Lytechinus pictus: one gene and its partner. The protein of the gene in region 1 interacts with the protein of each later gene in a pairwise test. Links are inferred from orthologs where the notes say so. Each region holds a gene or a part of one and is shown on either strand. Other genes may lie near its edges.

Region 1 (7,621 bases):
GGCAGCTGCTACAGCAAACCGTTTTTCGGCAGAGGAGAGTTTTGACAAGGGAATGCAAAGTCTGCATGTGTCAGTGATTGAACGAAGATTACGAGAGGGTGTGTATAATTTGATGGTATTATTAAGATATTCAGGTGCTAGATGATTTAGAGTTTTGTATACATATAAACAGACTTACTACTAATAATACTTCCCTTATATAGCGCATAAAACTGAAAGTTTCTCTACGCGCTTTACAATAAATGAAACAAAATTCACATACTGCACACAAAGAAGAATCTAACTTTGAGCTATTTTTTGGCATTATATTCAGTAAATAAAATCATATTCTACACTTTTCCTTTGCTTTTCTTTCCTCCTTTCTTTTTGTTCTTGTTTGTAGAACTTTTTGGGATCATAGCCCAACCCTTCCATACGCAGTGCTGTGCGGTTGGGGTCCGGAATTTTTTATATCAAAGCCATTTCCTCGCAGATTGCCGCTATTTTAATCAAATCGCGGGCATGTACAGGATATAGCTTTTACAAAACACATTTATTCAACCCAGTTGCGTAATGAACCAAATATTTTGAGGGGCAAAACATAGTAATGTGGGAAAAATCTGTAAAAAGTCGCAAAGCGATCGAGCTGGAAAAAAAAATGCATTTTGAAATTAAATTCGAATTATGTAATTGATTTTTCCATTAGATTCAGCAACTAACAAATTTCATTGTTTCCATTCATTTCATTATACCTTGTCTCCTTTAATTTATTATATTTCTCTTGGGTGTGGAACCAAGACCCCCCCCCCCCCGCGCATGTGCAGTAATTGAACGTGATTGTGAACGGGAAGCGTTATAGAGCAATTTGAGGTTCAGTATAAATGAAGAGCCCCTACAGCTGTGTGGGGTCTGGGGCAAAGCCCCGGTAGCTTATTTACATAAAATTTAGCTAGCTTATATATAGCACAATGTTGTATGCAGTCCATCTTTCTTCCTGCTCTTTAATTTCAATCATCGGAAGCCCGGTCGTGTTATTTTTTTTTCTTGTCCCTTTTCTTTGTTTTCCAAAAATTAGCTTTTGACTAATTGCATTTTACCTTCGTTTCGCGCTATTGTTTGCCATTTTGTCATCTTTTAATTTATTTCCCACCGTGCTATTGCATTACATAATTATGCCTGTTTTGGAATGATTTGTTCTTTCTCAAATGTTCTTCTTTCGTTCATTTTCCCGATTTCCTTCCTTTTCCGTTAAAAAGGGTTTTTTTCTTCGTTTTCTTTTCACTTTTTCCTTTCCTTTTCCCCTCATTCCCCTTTCCCTTTCTTTCTCCCTCCTTTTTTTTCCTTTCCCGTTTTTCTTTTATTCCTGGTTAAATCCGCCAGGGGGCAACTCCCCCCCCCCCGCCTGTTACGTCATGAATATCCATTAGGTGGACTGATGATGTCACATCTCCACTTGTTCTTTTGTAATTTATTATATGAAATTAGGTTTATTCAAATTTTTTCCTCCAAGAACTAGAAAATTTTGAGTGACAACTGATTTAGTGCATTAGATATTTATTGCTGCAACTTATTTCATTATAAGGGAGACATATTATTCACACAAGTATGAAATAAATGAAAAAAATATGGTTTTGTGTGATAACATATGAAAACGGAAAATGGGGATGTGACATCATCAGCCCAACTAATGAATATTCATGATGACTGTTTTCACAAAATATTGCTTAACTTTAAACTTCAATAACTTTATTATTTCTTATCCGATTTTGATGAAATTTTCTGCATTTTGCTCAGTGAATTCCACTCTATGTATTAAGATATAAATATTTTCAGCCCGGACCATCCCTTTAATTCAGATTCCTTAACAAAAATATTGAAAAAAAAGGAATAAAAAAAAACAAATAAAAAAAATACATGACAAATTAAAAATAGGCCTACAATAAACTACATAAGATATTAATCATGTTTTGAAATTCTTTTTTTTTAATGTTTTCACAAAAAATTAGCACTCTACAAGCAATAATATGAGTTAACAGCAATATATATTCATAAACTAATTTGCCTCATTTATTTTGAAATTATGAAGTTTTAACTCGTTGAAAATCTGTAGTTTTATAAAAACCATAGGCCTATATGGGGGTACAAATTTTCGCCAGTCTGGCAAACTTACACTAATCACGGTGTGAAAAAGCACAGTTAAAGATATCAATGCATACTGCGGACTGAAAGTAGTATAAATTTTCACGTAGGGCCTACAAAACAAAATGATGAAAATTTCATCAAAATCTGATAATAATAAATAGCAAAGTTTTGGCGCATGTGCCACTGCCAGGTCTATGTATACATGATATATCGAGTCATTGTTTCTCCTATTCCCTCACCCCCATCGAGCCCTTCGTCAAAAGCTGTATGGATCCGCCCCTGAATAAAAATTCACTAAAAGTCTAAAGGCGGACGAAAATCCCCCCCCCCCCATTGGTAACGACATTGCCAGAGCCGCGCATGCGCGCGCTGCCGAGGTTGGACGTCTGTCCAAATAAATATTACACGTATCGTCAATAGAACCAAATCCGCCGAGGAACCAAATCTGCAAACATCAAGCCGCGTTAAACCCGGTTAAAAACGATATCGGCCATTAAGAACGATATCTGCCGGCGGATACGGTATCCGCCGGTGGAACCAAATCCGCCGCTACACCGGCCAAGGACATTTGTTGTTGTTGTCTGTTGATACCGCAGATCGAAAAAGCTAGTCTAAATTTGTTCACACAGAGACTTGAGTTACCGTACCGTACCTAAGGCTAAGGCTAAGTTAGATCTCAGACTCAGTTCTCTAAAATTTTCGTGCAATTTTCTGACTTTGTGTTCTGCGCGGCGCAGTGTTGCAAGTTTCCTCCCTAAAAATGCATAATGGTGAAAACAATAAACAAATTGGCCAACAAACTTCACAATATAAACCAAAGTAGGCTTAGCTTTACGAAAGGGTCTATAAAAATTGAAGAGTAGAAGATACGTGCCTGTACAACAAAGCAGAACAAGACTACGATATCTCGTTTACATACAGCAGGTGCTTCGACGTGCGTTCGGCGAAGGTTGAGAAGCGAAAGAGACCCAAAGAACATCGCAGCGTAATTTTATGCCGTTCGCAATTCGGCATATATATATCAGAGTGCAGTTCGTTGAGCGCCCTCTAACGTTACAGCGAAACCACCGTTCAATGCAGCTGTATCGATATCCGAATGCGTCTATCACACCAGAATCAAAGGTTGATTGGAATATCACATCACGAATTGAACTCATGTTCATTTCTTCCACCCCTTCCACCTACCTACAAAGTCAAGAGCATGATGCGCATTCAGCGCTGAGCTTGGATAGTTGGGGGTAAAATTAATATAGGCATGCATTTTAAACGTCTTTTTTAAATTGTAATAATTGTATTGTATTTATTTTCCATTCATAAAAACATGCAAAATACAAACAAAATACATCAGATATAATTACAAAATAAAATAAATACATAGGAATGGCTGGATTGCCCATTCAGAGTGGAAATTATTACCACTCTGTTCTGCCTAGGGGTCCAGAACATAATAAAATAGATCAGATTGTATTATAAACATCATTAACAACAGAAAAGAACATTGTTAAACACAATATAAAGTAATGAAAACTAGACAATAGACATAAAACAAAATTTAAAGTTATGAGTTCAAGCCATAGAGATGTATACTGGTTCAAGCTACAAGCAAATACACCCCACCCCCTCCCGGCAAAACAACGTGTTGCTCAGAGATCAATGTAATTTGAAATCTTAGAGCTCAAATAAGTAATAAATGTAGTTAAGTCTTTGATAAAATAATTTCATATCTAAAGGTAAGTCATTATATAGGCGTGAACCTCTATATATAAACATTCTACGGCAATTTTCTGTATTTGGTTTGGGCATAATCACATTACCTACGGTTCTTAAATTATATGAGTAATTACAATATTTAAATGAATCTGCTAAGTATAATGGAGCCAGGCCGTTCAATGATTTGAACACCATTGTATATATATATGGATATTTCTTCGTGATTGTAATGACCTCCATTCGAGTCGTTGGTGTATTTCTCTATTTGATATTCGATTTTGCGGTTTAATGAACATTCAAAATGATACGGCCAGCTCTGTTCTGAATTTTTTGAAGACGTTTAGTATATTTCTTATTTGTGGATTCGTACACAATATCAGCATAATCAAATAAGGGAAGTATAACTGAACTATACAATGATTTTAGATTACTTTCAGTTACGAAATGTCTTAGACGTGCTAAATATTTGACAAGCTTATTAGTTTTCTTACATAGTTCTTCAATATGAGTATCCCACTTCAACTTTGGATCGAGATACATGCCTAAATATTTAACAGAGTTAGATTGCTTAATAGTTTTATCAGATATTTCAACATTTATATTTGCACATTTTGATAACATAATATTAGTTCGAAAAAGCATAGAATTCGTTTTATCAACATTACGGCTTAGTTTGTTGTGGCACAGCCAACCATATATGTTATGTAGATCAATATTTATGTAGTATTCTATCTCACTGATATTTTTCCAGAAAAATAAATAACTGTGTCGTCTGCATACAGATGCAGTTTACAATATTTTACATGTTTATTGATATCGTTTATGTATAACGTAAAGAGAATTGGCCCTAGGGTTGAACCCTGTGGAATCCCATACTCTATACTTGAGACGTTTGATGTAATATTCTCGATACATGTACATATATTCCGGTAATCCGGTTGCATAAATAACTCTCAAACCAGTGCAAAGCATCTTCTGAAACACCAATCTTTGCTAGCTTCTTCACAAGTATTTTAACATCCACAGTGTCGAAGGCTTTTTTCAGGTCGATGAATACTGCCCCGTATAACATGTATAAAGACCCTCGTCCATTGCCTTGTGACTTTCAAAAGAGAAGTCATTGTTGAGTGTTTCTTTCTGAATCCGGACGGACGTACTGATCCACACAGATCAGTATTTCATTTTCTTTCATGTACAATTTAAGTTGGTTGGATACAAGTCTTTCCATAATTTTTGAAATATAAAATGGAGATTGGTCTATAGTTACAAGGTTCATTTTTATCACCTGATTTGTAAATTGGAATAACTTTTGCTATCTTGTATTTATGTGGGAACGTACTATCTAGTAGTGATTTATTGATCAAATAAGTAAGTGATGGAAGCACTGGCGTACCTATAGGATTTTCCAGGGGGGGGGGGGCAAAAAGGTCTTTCAAGCTCGTCAGGGGGGGGGGGGGCAGGGATACATGCATGGGTGGTGGCTTTGCATGGGTGGTGGCTCGTCAGGGGGGCAGACTGCCCCTCTGCCCCCCCCCCGTAGGTACGCTAGTGGATGGAAGTATGGCTGGTGCAGACATTTTTAGTATTTGAGCAGTAATACCATCTATACCAGAAGAAGGTTTATATTTTTAATAATTTAATCTCTTTTGAAACATCCTCTTCTGTTACTGCTGTAAAATAAAAAGATGAATCCAGGTTACATTGCTCCGGCACTATTCCAGAACAAATAGGAATCTTGGATGCTAAATCAGCCCCGATATTTGCAAAATAATTATTAAAATTCTCACTTTGCTCAAATATTTGTTCTTTGTCAGTTTTAATCACAGAATTTGATTTCTTAGAAGGTAATAATGATTTCATAACAGTCCATATATTTCCAGCATTTACTTTTAGTTTTGTTATTTGATCATTATAATATTTTTTCTTTTCTTTCCTAATTTGGCAAGTGATTTTATTCCTGATCTTTCTATATTCTATCATTTTAATTTCATCTTTACTTTTTAAGGCCCTTTTCTTCAATTTCTCCCTTTCTCGAATCAATTTAAGTATTTCTGAGTTCATCCAGGGCGATTTTTTACTCTGAATTCTTCTACTTCTGATAGGCGTACAATAGTCAACAACTGACATTAAAAGTTCTTCCCATTTGATAAATGCTTCATTTATATTATCATAATTAAGTATCTCGTGCCAAGACTGGTTATTTAATCTTTCCATGTACGCTTCTAGATCAATACCAGATAGTTTTCTGAAGTTAATCATTCGAGAAGCGTCTTCATGTTTTGATTTCTATATCATGTAACTCATTGAGTGGTCACTGATACCAATGTGAATAACACCATATTTATTTATATTTTCAAGTGAATTAGTAATCATATGATCTATGAGAGTCATTGAATTGCATGTGACCCTTGTGTAGTCGGTTCTATTAATTTGATCTAAAGAATATAAGTTATGAATTTCTTGTAAACGTTCAGTGTCAGTCGATAATGGAGACTTTAAGATGTCACAGTTGGTATCACCCATTATGACAATATACTTGTTAAAACGGTCAAGATATGATAAATAGTTTTCATATTGCTGGAATATATCAAGATGAGAGTTTGGTGGTCGATACCAGGTACTAAAAATAATTGGGTTTGAAAACTTTGGACGTATCATTAACGAAATTATTTCTAATGAGTTCTCTACTTTATAATCAATTTCTTCAAAAGATAACGAATTTTGGATATAAACAGCTACTCCACCTCCGTGTCGATTTCTATCTCTACGGATAAGGAGATAATTGTCAATATTTAATTCACTATTGAATATTGATTCATCTAAAAACGTTTCATTCAGTGCTATATAGTACATGTATTTTGTTACATTCTAATAATAACTTTATTTAATCAATGTTCCGAAGGAGGCTACGAATATTTAAGTGTACAAATCTAAGACCTGTACTTTGTAAGCAATCAAATTGCAACGGGTTTCCTATTTCTGATAAGCAAGAAGTGTTGACATTCACATTACTTTTAGTGTGAGTGGTACATGAAATGTTATCAAATTCACCAGTTAAAAAAGGTAAGTAATTGAAAAGACAATTGGTACATTGCCAGTCTAAAAACAATTGAGTATATAGGATCATCATATAAATCATTACTTATTTTAACACATTTTGTGTAAACCCATTTTTTACAGACAGTACATTGTAAAGCTCTTTGAGTATTTTTTACACTTTTAAGGCACTGACGCAAGGAAATTGTTTCACCATTAGCTAAAAACTACATAAAAGTAGAACAAAATGTTAAAACACTATTCAATATAAAAATAATACAGCCGTAAAGTTAATACAAGAGTTCTAGTTGTAGATAACGAAGGATTACATCAGGTCCATGAAAATTAATGATTAATATGTAATCAACCCTGCATTTATTAAAATCTTCATCAGTAATATCAGTCCTGTTTAATCAGGGATACATCAAGAGATTATATATTCATATAGTGTCCAAACCACTCTCAGCCCTGATCAAACGTTTGACAGTTTTTCCTCCGCTTGCTGGAAGTAAGGCTATTATTCTGCCATCCGAAGACCAGGCAGATATGACTTTCGTAGTTGGGGTGCGTTTATCCGCCACTTTTTTACCCTAGAATCATGATCTGAATCATGATTCAAATCATGATTCTGCAGAATCACGATTGCGTTTAGTCGAAATTGAATATAATCATGATTAGAATCACAAACATGAAACACGAAAAAAGGGGCGTTTGGAAAGACGTTTCTGCAGAATCACGTACGAAAATGTTCGAA
Region 2 (8,202 bases), on another chromosome or scaffold:
ACATTTTAAGCACTTTTGTAATTATGAATAGGATGCATTTTTAACAAATGGTGCAAGCGCAAATTACAAGCCGAATATATTGATAAACTGTCAAAAGGGGATTTTAAGAAGTTTGTTATAGAACACATAACTCAATCAAAATGCTAGTGTGCAGCGCTAGTTGATATGTTTTGATAATCAGACCTGACAAGATATATATTTTTTTATAACTTTATGGAATGCATGAAGAGGATAGGTACTTGACAAATCAAATAATGCGAGCGCGCAGCGTGAGCTGTAAATGTTGATATTCAGATAATAAAACAGACATTTTACAAAGCACTTTTTTTCAAATTAATTGGCAAATCAAGCAAATTAATAAAAGATCAATGTCCATGTTGAAATACGTTTTGCTTATTGACTTAAAAACTTGATATTTTAAGCTCTACATGTATATCAGGCTTCTGAACAAGCTACATACATGTACGTATCATTCGAACAGGCAATTCGAGCGTGAAGCACGAGCGAAAATTTTATATGACATGAAAGATTTTTTTTTTTTTCCAAGTCTTCCCCTCATGTTATTTTATTCATTCATCTTCCATTCTTCCTCCTCTTTTTTCTTCTTCTCTCTTTTCCCTTCTTTTTTTTTTCTTTTTCTTTTGCTCCGCCAATAGGGGGGGGGGGGGCGGCCCCCTGGATCCGCCTATGCTAGCCCATTTACATGTACATGACTTAGGGCTAGAACTCTTATAGGGAAAGTAGAAATCACAGGGGCGAAAGTTTAATAAAAGCCCAGCCGCTACGGACAAGATATAGGCACATGCCCTGGCTCCATGGATCCGCCTATGCTAGCCCATTTACATGAACATGACTTAGGGCTAGAACTCTTATAGGGAAAGTTGAAATCACAGGGGCAAAAGTTTTAAAAAAGCCCAGCCACTACAGACAAGATATACATGTAGGCACATGCCCTGGCTCCATGGAGGTAAGCTCATGTTAGAGAATGATTTTTACTCTTTAGGAGCCTCCTGGTTAGGTGAATGGGATGATAGTAAGAATTCAGAAATTGTTGAATAAATCCCTGGAAACAATGGTTATTTCTGTCTTATACAAGAGATAAAAAAATAAACATCAAATGAAATGAATAGCAATTAGATGATTGTATGCAGTGTAGTGTATGTCCAGTCTCCAGTGCATTGTATACATGTACCGTATAGCCCCTATGGATTATAAAACTTTCTTTTATTTGATAAGATATATTTCTCTAAGGCAATATAGCTATAAAAGCTGCTTGCTACTTGCTAAGGAACAAAAAAAAACTGTTGCCACAATAAAACAAAAAATCACCCATTTACATGTATAGCCCACTCCTACTTTTAGACAGTTTCCTAGAGATATGATAAATGAATATTCTTTATATGAATTATTATTAAAAATCAATAGAATTGCACTAAAAACACTATAAAAATGTGTCATTACTCCTCATGATCCAGGTCCCCCCACTAAAATAAAACGGCAATTAACCCGATGATATTCATCTACCCCTCATTTCCCTCCTTTTCAGAACCACTCTGCTCTGCCACTTTTAGACACTTTTTCTAAAGATGATAAATGAACATTTTCGATAAGAATCATTAAAATCAATAAAAATCACATTAAAATACTTATTAACTGTCTAATTACTCCTCGTGATCCGAGTCCCCTTCCTGTGTAAAGACTGTCCAATTTCCCATAGGAGGGGACTTCACTGGATAACGAGGAATACTATTACTGAAACTCGTGATCCAAGTCCCCTCTCCTAAAATACAAAACGGCAATTAACAAGTTGATATTCATCTACCCCTCATTTTGCATTTCCCTCCTCTTCAAAACCACTCTGCCACTTCTGGAGAGTTTCCTACAGTCTTATAAATGAATATTCTCAATAATAAGTGTCTGCCTACTCCTTTTCTTTCATCCCCTTCACTAACCTGATTGGTCTTCTCTACTCACTAATGCCCCTTTTGTCTCCTTGTTTCTAGTGTTGCTGTAGCTTGTTTGTGGTCTATATTATGGTTGTTCCACTTTATATGTTTGTCATTTTGCCTCCGACGAAGATTCTGCTAGGATCGAAAGCTTAGGCCCCCTTTTTGACTTTCCAATAATAAGAAATTAAGAATCATTAAAATCAGTAAAAATCACATTAAAAAAAAAAACTATTTAACTGCCACTTTAGACAGTTTCTTAGAGATGATAAATGAATATCCTCGATAATAAGAATCATTAAAATCAATAAAAAATCACATTAAAAATACTATTTAGATCTAACTGCAAATTTCCCACAGGAGGGGACTCGGATGACGAGCATATCGTTATTCGAGTCCCCTCCTATGCTATGGGATCACGAGCAGTTAAAATTTAGTTTTTAGTGTGATTAATTTTGTTTTATTTCGTGTTTTTGTTTCAACTTGGAAGAATATTCAGGAGAAAAGAAAGAAGATTACTATTTTTTGTTGTTTGAAAAAGTGTCTGAGTCAGTTGTTATTGTGTCAATAGGAAAACGTGTGGTGGAAGAAAGCCCCTGTTCAGACTTCAGAAGCTTCACGCCGCAATTCGCAAACAATAGTCTAGATTTCTATTTAATAAAGACTTTGGTTTTGAAAACCTCTTTAAGAAGGCGTTATTCCAGAGAAAGATTGCTGATATTTTGATAAAGGTGTGTCTCAAGTTTGTCCCCAGTGACTTGGATGACGATAGAGCCAACTGCATTAGCGCAAATTTAGAGAGTAACCTAGCGTTCAGAATGTGAATTGTGAGCTGATCCTGGCTGCCATGAACGCGGCAGCTCCACCGCCTAGCTCCCTCCTTGGCGAGCGAGCCGCCGGAGCTGAGGCTAGGCGAGGAGGGACAGCGCTGCACAAACTGACAAAGTGGACAGACGAGTAACCTTACCCTCCATTGAATGTGTATGGATTGAATCTCTGTTGTTCCACCGGATGATAACTCGGGACGGTCTCGTGCATTCCCTGCATGATGTTGGCCTCCTTTTATTTTGGCACAAAATAATTCAACAAATAGTCTTTAAATATACAAATAAAACGATTATTTTTTTGGTCTCAATCTCAATTTTTGCCAGTCATGAGCTCCAAAAAGCGACCGAAACGACACTACCCAATTATGAAATGTAGATGGCGCTAGACCTCTTGTTTTGCAGTGCAAAAAGTCACCTTTTACAAAGTCTGTTTTTTATTTGTCGATTGATGATACTTTTTCTCTGCTTTTTTAATGTAAGAGAAATTGGGCAGTTAACTTCATTTCTAATAATTCTGAAAATTTGTAATCTCATTGATATTGATATATTTCTTTGTCTCGTATATATGTACAAAATCTTGATTTATACGAAGTGATTAACTTGATTTGAAAGAGGAAGAAAATAAAATATTATAAAAAAAAAAAATAGCTTGGTGCCGTGGCCGAGTGGTCTAAGGTACCCGACTACACAATGAAAGTCCGGGGTTCGATACCCGGTACGGCCCTTGACCGAGGCGTATTTCGATACATAACTCTTCTATCTTGCATCAAATAAATGAAAATGCTTTGTGAATGATTGATACCAACGTGTTTGCTTAAAAAAATAGCTTTGGTATTGGATTGAGGCCGGTGCAGGGTTTTTTACTCCAATACTTTTGTTTAATACTACAGTGACATGTATCTCTATTTTCAAGTGTCATCCTACAGCAGTTTATTAAAATTAATGACAATCACACAATATCTCGATAAAGGACAACATTATAATTCAATATAAAAAATGCAAAATGAAAGGCAAAAAAAAAAAGAATCAAATTATAGGCATATATATAAAGGGGCCGCGGAACGGTTTTGAATAAAACGTGCGTGGGGGGGGGGGGGGGGGGCTGACCATGCAAAAATCATAATCAGGTGGTAATTTTTTTCGTTTTTGTACACGGTTTTGGAAAAAAAGTGCGGGGGCTAGAGCCCCCTCCTGTCCCCCGGTTAAAATTAAAATGGTAACACATGAATAAACGTTTTTTACAAATTTTTATTTTAATTAAGCCTATATATAAATTACAATTAATTGGTAAATCTTTTGTATTTAATTTGTTCATATATTGTTCTGCTATTGTCATGGCTTGCAGTTGTGTGAGTGAGTGTGTGTGTGTGGGAGGGGGGGGGGGTCCCAAAAGTTCAAAGTAGGAAAAAGGGAACATAAAGGAAGAAGGTTCAGATGAAGTATTATTTTCTAAAAAATATTTCAAACTATATAGACCTATCGCAAAATTAGATTGTCATTTTAAAAGGACAAACATTTGCTCACTCGCTCACGACTTTTAAGAAATTTTGTTACACGTAAATTATGTTGCCCCCTCATTTTTTTTAGAGGGGGGGGGCTCATTACGCTATTGGCTGATGATACTATACCAGTTTATTGCGCTCTCGTATGAATTGTCTTATTCGTTCATCAAAGGAGGGGTTCACTCATAAGTTGGCGATAATTTAAAAGTTAAATGTTAGCGTCATGTCATGTGCGAGTAGCTCCCAATATATATAAATTTCAATTTTTAATGGCCCACGACTACTTCCTTCCTTCTCTTTCTTCAGTAAAAATAGAAGCCGATAGGCCTATGAAATGATATGTTGAACAATCGATTACTAGTACACACATTTGTAATGCGCAGGTAGCCATCATAAAAAGATGCTCATAAGGGGAGAATTAACTGCTCGCATATGACGTCACAAAATAAAAACAAACACAACAACAATAACAACAAAATAATAATAATTTCGTTATATCCTCTTATGGATTTTCGCTAAAACTTTTTAGGCATATGTTCCTCTCTTTTTTTGGCTTCTATTGAAATCAATTTAATGTAATTGTGAATTCCCCCTTTAATGAGCAAATGAGGAGATGTGGAAAATATTTTGTGTGAGAGGTTTTGCTTACACATGTGTTAGTATTTCTTTCAAATAGTATTTAGTATTTCTTTCAAATAGACTGTTTGTCTGTTTCGGAAGTAAAAAAGAGCATTTGAGTCAATTTCTTTAAGTTTCTTTCTTCAAATATACTTTTATAAAGTAGTAGGCCAAGTACAATTGGCGGTCTTGCAAATGAGGGAGCCAATTATGTCAAAGACTCACTAACTTATTTTTTTATTTTATTTTGTTATTTGATAAATAAAATATTTCCATTTCCCAACAGTATATAGGCCTATAATAAGAGACTGTTCTATTCCTCACATGCCTCATAAATAGTCGAATTTGAGATGTACTACCCTGTAAAATAAAATGTGTAACATCATCATCCTCATGTATAGAGTAAGACTAATCTAAAAAGGTCGAGTTGTAAAATGCCATAGCTCTATCATTTTCTTATTCCATTTGTCTTTCACAGTCATAATGAACGTTATCATAATTATTATCATATCGCCATTATATTCATGATCATCCCCGCCATTATCATCACAATTGGCGTACCGGCGAGGGGTTGGGGTATACCTAAATGATTTAAAAAGTGGTATAGTTTTGCTAAATCATTTGATTATAGACATCATGACTTTTATCTGCCCAATCTATTTTCCTGAATTTATCGTCGGACTGTACAATGATCGTATTAGGAAAACTTTCTGAAATAGCGGAACATCAAGTTTCAAACTGAGACCAATGGCTCTGGAAGCAGGGGTGCTGAACCATCCCCGAGACTTTTATGGAGGGTGCTGCGTGTGTTATTCTCATAGGTTGCACCCCACCACCACCACCACCACCACCATCATCATCATCCTCATCATCATCATCGTCATCATCGTCATCACCATCATCATGGATCACGTAACTTACACTATTAGTTTTCGGACTATTTGTGGAACATTTCAAGTACACCTACATAGGCCTAGGTGAATTTTGAATAAAAAAAAACCAACCACTGTTGCCATCATCAGAAAGAATGCCTACATGTAACACCATTGTTCTTGAAAGCTAGGGGCCACACTTTACAAGCTTTGCTTTTCAGTGGGCCACTCCATTTTTCCAACATATCTTGCATTTTGTTATTATCAATTTGGAAATATTATATTCTGTACCAGGTGTATATTCTGTATGTTTGGTTTATTTGAATATTTATGTCATTCATATTTTCTGATGTTATGTTTTATTTATTGTAATTATTGCATTATAAATTTTGTTGTAAAAATGAATAAATAAATGAATGAATGAAGTGATGTTGGAACTAACTCTTCCATGTACAAAAACGTTTTTGTGTTTTTTGAATGTACGTAGCCTCCCCAATTTCAAAACCGTTCTGCGGCCCTGTGTTGTATCACCATCCTCACTATCACCACCATCGTCATCATTATCCCACCATCATCATCACCATCGTTATTTTTTGTAATTTATCATATTCATTATCACCATCATCATCATCGCCGTCGTTATTTTGTAATTTATCATCTTCATTATCACCATCATCATCATCGCCGTCGTTATTTTGTAATTTATCATCTTCATTATCACCATCATCATCGCCGTCGTTTTGTAATTTAATATTCATCATCATCTTCTTCAACGTCATCTTAATCATCATCATCACCATCATTGTCACCCTCATTATCTTCATCATCACCGCCACCACCACCATCATCACCATCATCATCATCACCATCGTTATTTTTTGTAATTTATCATCTTCATTATCACCATCATCATCATCGCCGTCGTTTTGTAATTTAATATTCATCATCATCTTCTTCAACGTCATCTTAATCATCATCATCACCATCATTGTCACCCTCATTATCAGCATCATCACCGCCACCACCACCATCATCATCATCGCCGTCGTTATTTTGTAATTTATCATCTTCATTATCACCATCATCATCATCGCCGTCGTTATTTTGTAATTTATCATCTTCATTATCACCATGATCATCATCGCCGTCGTTATTTTGTAATTCATCATCTTCATTATCACCATCATCATCATCGCCGTCGTTTTGTAATTTATCATATTCATCATCATCTTCTTCAACGTCATCTTTATAATCATCATCATCACCATCATTGTCACCCTCATTATCTTCATCATCATCATCATTTTCATCCTCATTATCAGCATCATCACCGCCATGCACCACCACCACCACCATCATCATCATCACCATTATCATCATCACCATAACCACCACCATCATCAGCATTCCTTGACACAAAGATTTGCAAGAAATCACAAATTATGTAATTTTAGCACTTGCAATGGTTTATTTCCAATTCGTCTAATGCCATTTCGTCCAATTGCCAACTCGTCAACTATCATCTGGTCTACCATCAGTTCGTCCACTCACCACATGGTCTACTTTCAGACTTGAGTCTTATGCCATTCCGTCTAATAACCAGTTGGTCCAATAGCCATTTAGTCCATGTACCCTTTGGCCTAATTGGACTATTAAGTGTTAATTTATGCAAAATGAATGAAAATGAAATGGATATTAGACCAACTGGTTATGAGACGAAATGGTCATAGACGAAGTTGGACCAAATGGTTATTAGACGAAAAGTTGATGGACGGAATGGCGTTAGACTAAATGAAAGTAGACCATGTAAATAGTGGACGAGTAGACAGTAGACGAATTGGCAATTTACCCTTGCAACAAACAAGAAGATATTGGCTGGACAGGGACATCGGGATGAAGTGCAAATCTTTGTGTCAGAAGGCTTAATAAACAATACTAGTCGGAATAAAAACATTATCCAACACACATTTATTGTTGTTCAATTAAGGGGGCAGAAAATTCCCAAGGCTTTTATTGGTCACAAAAATTTATTCACAAACTTGTCCATCTAGAAAAACAACACAGTTCCAAAATCATATCCTGTTCATACTCATTCTTTAAATGCGATTGTTAATCTTCCCCATGGGAAAGGCAAAAAACCTTCCTATGCATATTCTCCCCAACATATTCTCAAGCAGAAAAAAAAGAAACAATAAAACGATGAGGTAATAAAATATGACTCAACACATCCCAATCAAATTGAGCATAGAAGGTTTACAACTTCTGAATTACAAGTTTCCCTTCCAAAGACTATGTCGGGACAGGAGTATTGGAAGACTTCATAAAATAATGTTTCTATTTTTTTCCCACAAAGATAGTATCCGAATTAAATTCTCAAGTAGATGCTAAGTCTATAACGTCATTTATATTGGAGGTAGAGCCTTCTCGAATAATGTCT

Evidence for each region. The genes of interacting proteins can lie anywhere in the genome.
Region 2: the proteins of methylenetetrahydrofolate reductase (NADPH)-like (region 1) and proteasome subunit beta type-1-B-like interact in a two-hybrid assay, tested with the Caenorhabditis elegans proteins (3 studies listed by BioGRID). The link is inferred for Lytechinus pictus from reciprocal best matches to the Caenorhabditis elegans genes mthf-1 and pbs-6.

Annotation. Positions count from the first base shown.
Region 1 is NC_087258.1:5,055,851-5,063,471, forward strand, and holds the start of methylenetetrahydrofolate reductase (NADPH)-like, read right to left. Parts: upstream 3,150-7,621; 5' UTR 2,996-3,149; intron 1-2,995.
Region 2 is NC_087259.1:10,581,640-10,589,841, forward strand, and holds the start of proteasome subunit beta type-1-B-like, read right to left. Parts: upstream 3,155-8,202; 5' UTR 2,994-3,154; coding exon 2,914-2,993; intron 1-2,913. UniProt on the Caenorhabditis elegans protein: Non-catalytic component of the proteasome, a multicatalytic proteinase complex which is characterized by its ability to cleave peptides with Arg, Phe, Tyr, Leu, and Glu adjacent to the leaving group at neutral or slightly basic pH.